2 linked regions of the Cricetulus griseus genome follow. The protein of the gene in region 1 interacts with the protein of each later gene in a pairwise test. Links are inferred from orthologs where the notes say so. Each region holds a gene or a part of one and is shown in the gene's direction. Other genes may lie near its edges.

Region 1 (5,267 bases):
GCATATTACTCTTGCACCCATCTTGGGCAATTCATAAATGCCTAGCTGTAATGCCAGCTCTTGGGGACCCAAAACCCACTTCTCCACTCCTTACACACTACACTCATGTGGACCACATACTCTCCCACACACACAATTAAAATAAATAATAATAATAAAAAATAAATAATAATAAAGATATATTTTTGGTTGAGTTGGGGGAAGAATAGAGGAGAGCAGGATGAGAGATACCATAACAGAGGGAGCCATTGTAGGTCCGAGGAGAGATCTGGCACTGGGAGATTTCCAGAGATCTCCAAGGATGACACAAACTGACAATCTAGGCAATGGTGGAGAGGCTACTCTAAATGCCCTTCCCCTATGAGACTGATGACTACTTTCTATGCCATCCTAGAGCCCTCATCCAGTGGCTGATGGAAGCAGAGACAGACACCCACAGCTATACACTGAACTGATCTCTGGAACCCAGTTGCAGAGAGGGAGGAGTGAAGATCAAAGGGGTCGGTACCAGGCTGGTGAATCCCTCAGAAACAGCTGGCCTGAACAAGGGGGAGCACATGGACCCCAGATGCTGTCTGGGAGGACAGTACAGGACTGATCCAGACCCCTGAACGTGAATGTTAATGAGGAGGCCTAGGCACTCTATGGGGCCCCTGGTAGTGGATCAGTATTTTTCTCTGGTGTAAGAAGGGACTTTGAGAGCCCATCCCACGTGAAGGGATGCTCTGTCTCGGCCTGGACACATAGGGAAGGGCCTAGATCCCGCCCAGGATGATGTGGTGGACTTTGGGGAGCACTCATGGAGAGCCCTACCCTCCCTGGGGAGTGGAGGGGGGAGGGGGGGCTGGTGGGAGGTTGGGGAGGGAGGGAGAGGGAGAAGGGATTGACATGTGAAGCTATATAAATAAAATTTTTTTAAAAAGATATATTTTTAAGTTCTCCTTAAAACACTAAGATCTTGCTATAAGATTCTTAAAATTTTTCAAACAAGATTTACAGATAATTCAATATGATCATACATTATTTCAGAGCAAAACTACTTACTGAAAGGAGTCATAACATCTGCACCCTCTTTTGTAAGAACAGTGATTAGAGTGAGCCTTACAGAAGAGGACCTGTGTCTGAGGGCAAGCCTAGTGTTGAGTATGTTCCCCTCAACATCAGCACAAAGCCGCAAAAGGAGACAGTTTGGACAGGAGGTCTGAGGAGGATCTCTGTAACTGTACAGAGAAAACTAGTTCTGTTGAGAAAAAGTATGTAGTTAAGAAGAGGGAGGAGATGGGAGCATGAGAGGAAGATAAAGACTAACAGGGTGATGACCAGAATACTTTATGTAGATATGAAAATGTCCTAATGAAGCCGTTATTGTGATTTAATTAACTTATGCTAATTAAAAAAGAATATATAGCCGGGCGGTGGTAGCGCATGCACAAGGCGGGAAGTGCGCAGAGGCAGGACGATCTCTGTGTGTTCAAGGCCAGCCTGGTCTACAAAGCGAGTTCTAGGACAGCCAGGGCTACACAGAGAAACCCTGCTTCGAAAAACCAAAACCAAAAAGTAAACCAAACCAACCAACCAAATACATCAAGCTCTATTCACCAAAGCTAGAACCCAAAGATGTCTCCCCCGAAGCACGAGCCACCCGAAAACTGAAGGCAGAAGCACAGACTTCACTGCCATAGCTTTCTCCTGGTGCTTATGTCAGACAGGTGACCTAGGACGGACCCTGACCCAACGCCAGCACTGGCGCCAGCTTCTGCATTGCTCCAATACATTTGCGCTCGGGCGAGCACAGAAGCTCCCATCCGGGGCTCCACGCCAGCCTCGTTGTCATAGTTACCGCCAGAGCCCCGCCCCTTCCTCGCTGTCCGGCCCCGCCCCTCAGAACCCGGAAGCGGGAGGCGCGCCCCAGGGAGCTACGGGATTCAGACCTGGGAGGCGGCGGCCTCTGGCTGCTCAGCCGCGCGCCCCCTCTACCTGCTGCGCCCGCGGAGCCTCTGCTCTGCAGCCGCCCGGCCCACCCGCGCCCTGCCGCCTGCCTCCGCAGCGCCCGAACCGGGCCGAAGAGCCGTTTGGGCTGGAGAGAAAGGGACGCGGGGGTGGCCACGGCAGGTGAGGGGCAGGCCTTGGAAAGCGGAGTGAGGGTGTGTGGTGCGTGTAGGGTTGTAGGTGGGTGTGTATCGAGCATGCGTGACTAGTGAGTGTCGTCCACGGGTGGGCCGGTCCTTGTGACCATGCACGTGATCCATATCCGTGTGTGTTTGTGTCTGTGTCTAAGGCCCAGCCTCGGTTCATTGCGGATGGTCGGTGTGCCTGTGGGTCCACTATTGTGTGGCTATGGCTATAACTAGTGGGACTCAGGGAGGCCCCAATGGGGGTTGGTGCCCAAAACCTTAACCGGACATCTTCATCTTCTTGTACCACCCAACTTGGGGCTGTGCGGCAGAAGCTCAGAAGCATTTGGTTTCAGTAAACTTTTAAGGACTGCGAGTAGAGGCCAGTTCTGGAGATCCTGCCTTAGACCGGGCATGAGGCTTGTTAGAGAGTCATGAGAAACATTGCAGGGCTAGCGAGTGTCTCGTTTTTCTTTTCCCAGGAAGTTAGTTGTTAGGTGCTGATGCAGTTGCTTTGTCTCTATCTGCAATTGTCCAGCTACTCTTCGTGCAAGGATTCTAAGGATTGGGAAGTCCTCTAATACTGTCTGAATTTTTCAAAAGGCATTTACAACAGGATCTTGAGAAGAGGTGTCAGAAGATGTCATGCAGGCAGCATCTCCTGTCATGGCATTTAGAGACAAGTGGATAGGTTCCTGGAGAAAGAGGGATGAATTTTCCCTGAAGAAATCGCCCCCGAAAGATAGCTATTTAATACATATGGGTGTGCTGGGGGTGGGGTGAAGATCTGCAGTAAATAGCCAACTGTGGTTCTTTGGGTGTAGTTTAGTGGCAGAAGCTCATGCTTAGCATTCCCGAGGCCATAGGTTCAGTTCCTGGTACCGATAATCATAGTTGTGTCACCTAGAGGCTTTCAAGGTCTAATGCTTTTTTTATTGGCTGTAATAATCACAGATTATCCCTATGTAAGTCCACTATAGATTGAGATAAAGGACCAGCCATATGTGACCATGTGAGTTAACATTTGTAAAGCTGATTTCCTCAGCTGTAAAGTGCAGGTTCTGCTGAGACTCCACGTGCATGCTCACATCCAGCAACACAAAGTCCAGAAAGGACCAGGTGTCCTCAGCATCCCGGAGGAGGGGTTTCCTTAATCATGATTAAAGCTTATCTCTGGCCCTTTCCTCACCAGCCTGAACAAGTGCTTTTGTTTTTGTAAAGAACTGAATCATGAGAAATCGCATCTGTGCTGAGCTCACCGCTCACATTCTTTTTTCATCCTGACCAGTTTGGTCACAATCTCAGCTAACTTTCTGGGCCATAGACACAATGTTTCTTTTGTGACTTGGAAAAGCATCCGACCTAAGTGGATGAAAGAGAGCTAGAACAAACTTTCCTTTTCATACTGCTACAGCTGCTTTCCCTTTGCAGCTTTTTTTTTCTTCTTCTTCTTCTTCTTCATAGCCGTCAGCTGGTCACATGCAACATTTGGTAACTGTCTCGCCTTTCATTACTGCCGAACTAGCACAAGTGTTAGGCTCACTTGTCTTTACAAACGTGTACTCACAGCTGGGCAAAATCTCTTACCCATCAAGATTAGTTATAACGTGTCCTGTTGCAATACTGAGGTAGTTGTGAATTATACGGAAGGCTTTTGGTAAGGACTACCTTCTACCCATTGCTATGGGAAAGAAGTGGGTGACTCGGGGTCCTTGTGTGCCTGCCTACGTGTTTGTGCTGTGGTTTGGTTTGTGAATTGCACCTGACTCTAAAACTGTGAATAATTTCTACCGTAAATGGGTTGATTCTAGAAGTAAACTTTAACAAATTGATTGAAGTTTTTGTTTGTGTGTCTGTTTTGAAATGAGGTTTCACCTATCACTGTGTAGCCCTTGCTGGCTTGGAACTCACTATGTACACCTTGAACTCAGAGTTCTGTCTTCCTCCTGAGTGCTGGGATTAAAGGTGTGCGCTATCATCTGGTGGTTTCACATATTTTTGATATTCTCTCCTACAGAAATTGTTCTAGAAAATGTCTTTAGTTGGTGTCCTAGTGTAAAGTATTTCAGAATTAACTGCTAGTTGCTTTCATTTAAAAAAAGTAGTAGCTTAAGGGAGACAGAAGAGGTAAATTGACTATATTACATTTTGCATGAAACTATTCAAATAATAAGAATCTCTAAAAGTTGTTAAAGTTATGATATAAAAATAGTTTAAACATCTTAGATACTAAACTTGTTAATATTTAAGATAAATGGATTTTGCAAAGGATTGTGTTCTTTGTTTTAGTGTTAATGACTGAATCTGTGCACGATGGTTTCAATATAAGATTGATGGTAATTTACTTTGTGTTTTAAAACAATTTACAGTTTTAGCGGGGGCGGGGGGGCTCTGCTCTCTGTGAGTTAGAGGCCAGCCTGGTCTACAGAGTGAGTTCTCAGTTGGGGATACACAGTGAAATCCTTTCTCAAAAAAAAAAAAATTACAATTTTAACAACCCTCTCAAAATATTTCCTTTGCTTTGAGATAAGAGACCACTATCCTATCAGCATTGTAATTAGAGTTTTAATATTGGTCTGTCTACATTTACTGTCTCCTGGAAGTTCAGTGTAGTGATTCTCAAAGGTAGCAGACCAGTGTTGTGTCCCTGTAGAAAGAGGCCAGAGAATGAGGAAGGGTTCCATTAAGTTTAGAATTCTCTGCCCCTTGCCAGGCCAGAGAGCTTTTTCAAAGTCAGCCTAAACTTAAGTCCTGGACTGTCACCTCATCCCTACTAGGGACTCTAGTTCTGCCCTCAAAGCAGGGGAATGCCACGCAAGACATGTATTTGAACCTTTCCAGGTGGGCCAAGTGCTCTTGGCCATAAGAATCTGCAAGAAGGAACCTTCCCTTAGGTTCCTGTTACAGCATCGCACAGTCAGGCAAAGGATATGCAGTTCACAGCTGGGCAGTAACAGAATTAGGAGGGCTTCTCAGAGGGCCTGGTTTGGTCTCTTTAGAGCTCAGTCATCTCATAGTCAGCAGATCAGGTGGGCTGAATGCCAAACCATTCTAGGCTCTGGGGAAGCAAAGATGAAGCCCACAGAGAGGAAACAAGCACAGAGGTCTCAGCACTATCAAAACTAGAAGACACACCTTTTCCCCCTAGAGACA
Region 2 (4,095 bases), on another chromosome or scaffold:
TGGCTCAGTGGCTAACAACATTGGCTCTTCTGCCAGAGGATCTGAGTTCATTTCCTAGCACCCATATGACAGCTCACAATTGCCTATAATGCCAGTTCCAAGAGATCTGGCACTTTCACACAAACATACATGCAGGAAAAATACCAACGTAGATAAAAGAAAAAATAATAGATCATTAAAAAAATTTCATTTCATGTGTATATGTGTGTCTGGGGGTATTTGCCAGATATATGTGCCTAAAGAGGCCAGGAGAGGGTAGGATATACTGCTTTTGAAAAAGGGCCAGTTAACTGTGCTCAAAGAAATTGCTGGGGGAGGAGGGAGGCATGGGACACTTGTTGAAAGTGAAATTTTGATCTTTCCAAATTTTTACTTTTTTTCCATTTAGAACAAATTCTGTACAACATAAAACAGGAGTATAAGCGGATGCAGAAGAGAAGACATTTAGAAGCTAGTTTTCAGCAGACAGACCCAGGCTGTAGTTCTGATTCACAGCCACATGCATTTCTCATCAGTGGACCAGCGTCACCAGGTAATAAGAAACTTTAATAAGTGAAAGAAATGTTATGTGAGAAATGATGGGGAAGTATATTGCAAATGCCTGTAATGACTTACAGCACCTGTTTTTCTCCAATATTAACAAAATTATGCTAATCATAGTATCAAAAGTAATCAGCACCTGGATTCCCACCAACCAATAGCCACTTTTATTTAGCATCCCTAAAGCGGACACTGTGTAAGTTTAACTTGTAACTTCCAAAAAAAAAAAAAAAAAAAAGTCACCAGTGCTTTTTAAACACCCAATTTTATTCATTTTTATACTTTTGACTGTATTTATGTACTTATACCACTTATATGCCTGGTGCTCACAGAGGCCAGAAGAGGGTGTCTGCAACAGAACCCCAAAATTATCAAACTAAAGCAATTGTATCAATTGTATCCCAAAGCAACTGCAACACCATTGTTTGTCAACATCAAATTATCAAGAATATTCCTTCTGTGTTATTGTAACAAGAGAAAATTCTTTATTCTAATTGTTAAGATAGTGAGCACAAATCAGTATTAAAAACTTTACGGATAGAATACCAGCATCTTCGCAAGTTGACTCATGAACAAAGATTCAGAAATGTTCGTTTCTGTGACTTCTTAAAAGAGGGAGCTCTGATCATGATTATTTTTCGAATTGTGTACTTTTTTTCATTACAGTTTTCATTAGTGACATCTGCTAGGATAGTCTGTATAGGGGGAAAAGCCATCTATATTTTATGGTTCCTAAAACCACTCTTGCTTAAAAATCATTTGTTGCAGTTTTTGACTGGTTCTGTGTGAATTAAAGGAACTAAGGGATTATGGTAACTATTCAAAACTTAAAATCATTTCTATTTTAAAATTAAGCATCTCCATTCCAGAATTTTCCCTACAGCAACCTCCTTTTAAGGGTAGTAATTTTCTCTATCTTTTTTTTTTTTTCTATTTAAACATGATTCTTTCTAAATAGGAAACTAAACGGTTTGAAAAATGAGGAATATTGAAGTGGTGGTATAAGATGGTTGTGAGGCTTTACTGTATGGCCTTAAAAATATAAGCAATTAACAATAACATAAGTCTTTATAGTGTTACTCTAATATTAAAGTGAAGCTTTAAACCAGAGTTATATTTCTTTTATAGGAAATTTTGTAAATTAGCCACTGAATGTTCTAAGCAGTGGGATGGAGAGTGAAAGTTTTGTGATGGGCTCCAGCATTGCAATGATTTTGTTTTGAGGCTTTCTCCATTTATCTTTAGGCTTTTCCTCGGATAACATATCTTTTTTCCAGAGTCATTGGCTGATAAAATTATTAGTTCCGACCTGTTTATCATAAAGAATAAATTTTAAGTAACATGGGACAGTTCTAAATGAAATCTTCATTTAGGAGGTATTCTGTTATGGTTCTAAATCAGGTGCTGTTTTATTCATGTTGTACATAGGTACTTCATCTGCAACATCCTCACCATTAAAAAAAGAACAGCCCTTATTTACTCTAAGGCAGGTTGGGATGATCTGTGAACGTTTGTTGAAAGAACGAGAAGAGAAAGTTCGAGAAGAATATGAAGAAATACTGAACACAAAACTTGCAGGTAATAAAATGAATTTAGTTTAGAATATCCCAGTATTTGTCACTGTTCTATTGCTGGGGAGAGACATAATGACTAAGGCAACTCTTATGAAAGAAAGTATTTAATTGGGGGCTTGCTCAGTTTTAGAGGTTAGTCTATTATGACAGCATGCAGAGAGGTGTTGGGCAATTACTGAGAACTACATCCTGATTTCCTGGGAAGAGAAAGCCCAGGTCTGCCTTGGTCTTATGAAACCTCAAAGCCTTTTTTGTTTTGGGTCACCAACCAGATCCCAAGAGACTTACTAGTATGCATGCTAAGCTTTATCTTATGGTTGTCCCACTAGCTCATTCAAGGCTACACCTCCTAGTCCTAATCTTTCAGAGTTCCACTCCTTGGTGACTCAGCATTCAAATATATGAACCTATGGGGTCCATTCTTATTCGAATCGAATGGCCACACCTAAAAACTCATTGTAAGAAGTGAATTATTCCCACCTTGTTTTACATTGGTGAAATTATTTTTCTATATATTGATAGTGTTGCCTATGAACCAGAGCATTTCAGCAAAAAAGGAAATCAACATTCCTCACCTTATTGGCCCCAAGAAAGAACTAGTCATATAGATCAGCTACAGTATTAGTGAATTCAGATTTTTATGTTGTATTCTATGGAAAACACTCACCTGAGCTGTTGACAATTACTACGGAGGTTATGGAATGGATGAAGGTGTTTTCATGTGGCTTTATATTTTCAGATACATTATATAAGATATCTTGCAAGTCATGTAATTGACACATACTTTATTTGTAGAACAATATGATGCATTTGTGAAGTTTACGCATGATCAGATAATGCGGCGATATGGAGAACAGCCTGCTAGTTGTAAGTATTTGACCTTTGAACTATAAACTGAAGTGACCATGTTTTCATATTTAAAGAGTTGATAAAAAATGTAGAGAAAAGGTTTACAAAAGAAGTAAAATGCTGTAACCCCTGATTACTTAAATATCTAGGGGTGATGTTAGCAATGCATTATCTTGTATGTTTTAATTTTGCCCCATTCTTTGCACTAATACTCCTTTTCTCCTCCAGATGTTTCATGAATCACCCTTTTGCATTTGTGGGCTGCCTTGTTCCTTGTTGAGTTGTTGCAGGAGGTCCCAACTATGACACGCAGCAATGCCAGTACCCATCTGTGAATACAGGTTATTTCAAGCTTTCGTCAATGGCAACCACTCTTAGGCAGCAGCAATTGGTTTTGGAAATTTCCGTGATGTCATTACCACCTGGATGTGGACCTTTGCTACTTGTATTAATACCAGTGGCCTCGTTTTGCTGTATCATTACAATTTGGCTTCTTTATATTAATGTTTAAAAGGGATTAAAGTTGGCATTCTAGAACATGCCCTTCACTGGTTATGTAAATAAAACTGTAGAATGACACGTCAGATGAAGTTAGTGTGATTTTAATTGTGCACTACAACCAAGCTGTAACCAGTTATTAATAATTTAGAATGTAATCCCAGGACAATTAAGCAGTTAGTCTACAGTACTTCTGTGAAATAGTGGAGGAGGAGGGCATTTCTGTATTTCAGGACTTTTCTTGGGGTTTCAGAATGGGTTTATATGATTTCCTTTATTATTATTTTTTGGTAGTTTTATTTATTCTATCAGTCTTTTTAACAAATGTTTATTGCTGCACCCCAACCCCCTCCCCCAGTGTATCATTGTTTTACTGCCCTTGTAGCACTGGAGTTTAGTTGGAAAAATAAAACATTTACTTCTATTCTGCTTGTTTTCGAATTGTACACATGGGTAGTATTTGAATAAAGTAGTGTTTTAAACGTAAGTATTTTCAATAAAGTTAGATTTCTGATAAGGTTCACCTTTTATTAAATGCTGTTTCCCAAAATTAAGTTCTGATTCAGAACTGTATGACAGCATGTTACATAGCAAGATCTCAAACAGCTGTAGAAGTTTTACCTTTTGATTCCAG

The links. The genes of interacting proteins can lie anywhere in the genome.
Region 2: the proteins of Spg21 (region 1) and Akirin2 interact in binary tests that used the Homo sapiens proteins (3 or more experiments, as listed by UniProt). The two-hybrid records come from large-scale screens. The link is inferred for Cricetulus griseus from reciprocal best matches to the Homo sapiens genes SPG21 and AKIRIN2.

The regions. Positions count from the first base shown.
Region 1 is NC_048597.1:177,057,724-177,062,990, forward strand, and holds the start of Spg21 (maspardin), read left to right. Parts: upstream 1-1,893; 5' UTR 1,894-2,112; intron 2,113-5,267. UniProt on the Homo sapiens protein: May play a role as a negative regulatory factor in CD4-dependent T-cell activation.
Region 2 is NC_048595.1:107,493,203-107,497,297, reverse strand, and holds the end of Akirin2 (akirin-2), read left to right. Parts: intron 1-388; coding exon 389-532; intron 533-1,968; coding exon 1,969-2,118; intron 2,119-2,909; coding exon 2,910-2,981; intron 2,982-3,191; coding exon 3,192-3,202; 3' UTR 3,203-3,885; downstream 3,886-4,095. UniProt on the Homo sapiens protein: Molecular adapter that acts as a bridge between a variety of multiprotein complexes, and which is involved in embryonic development, immunity, myogenesis and brain development.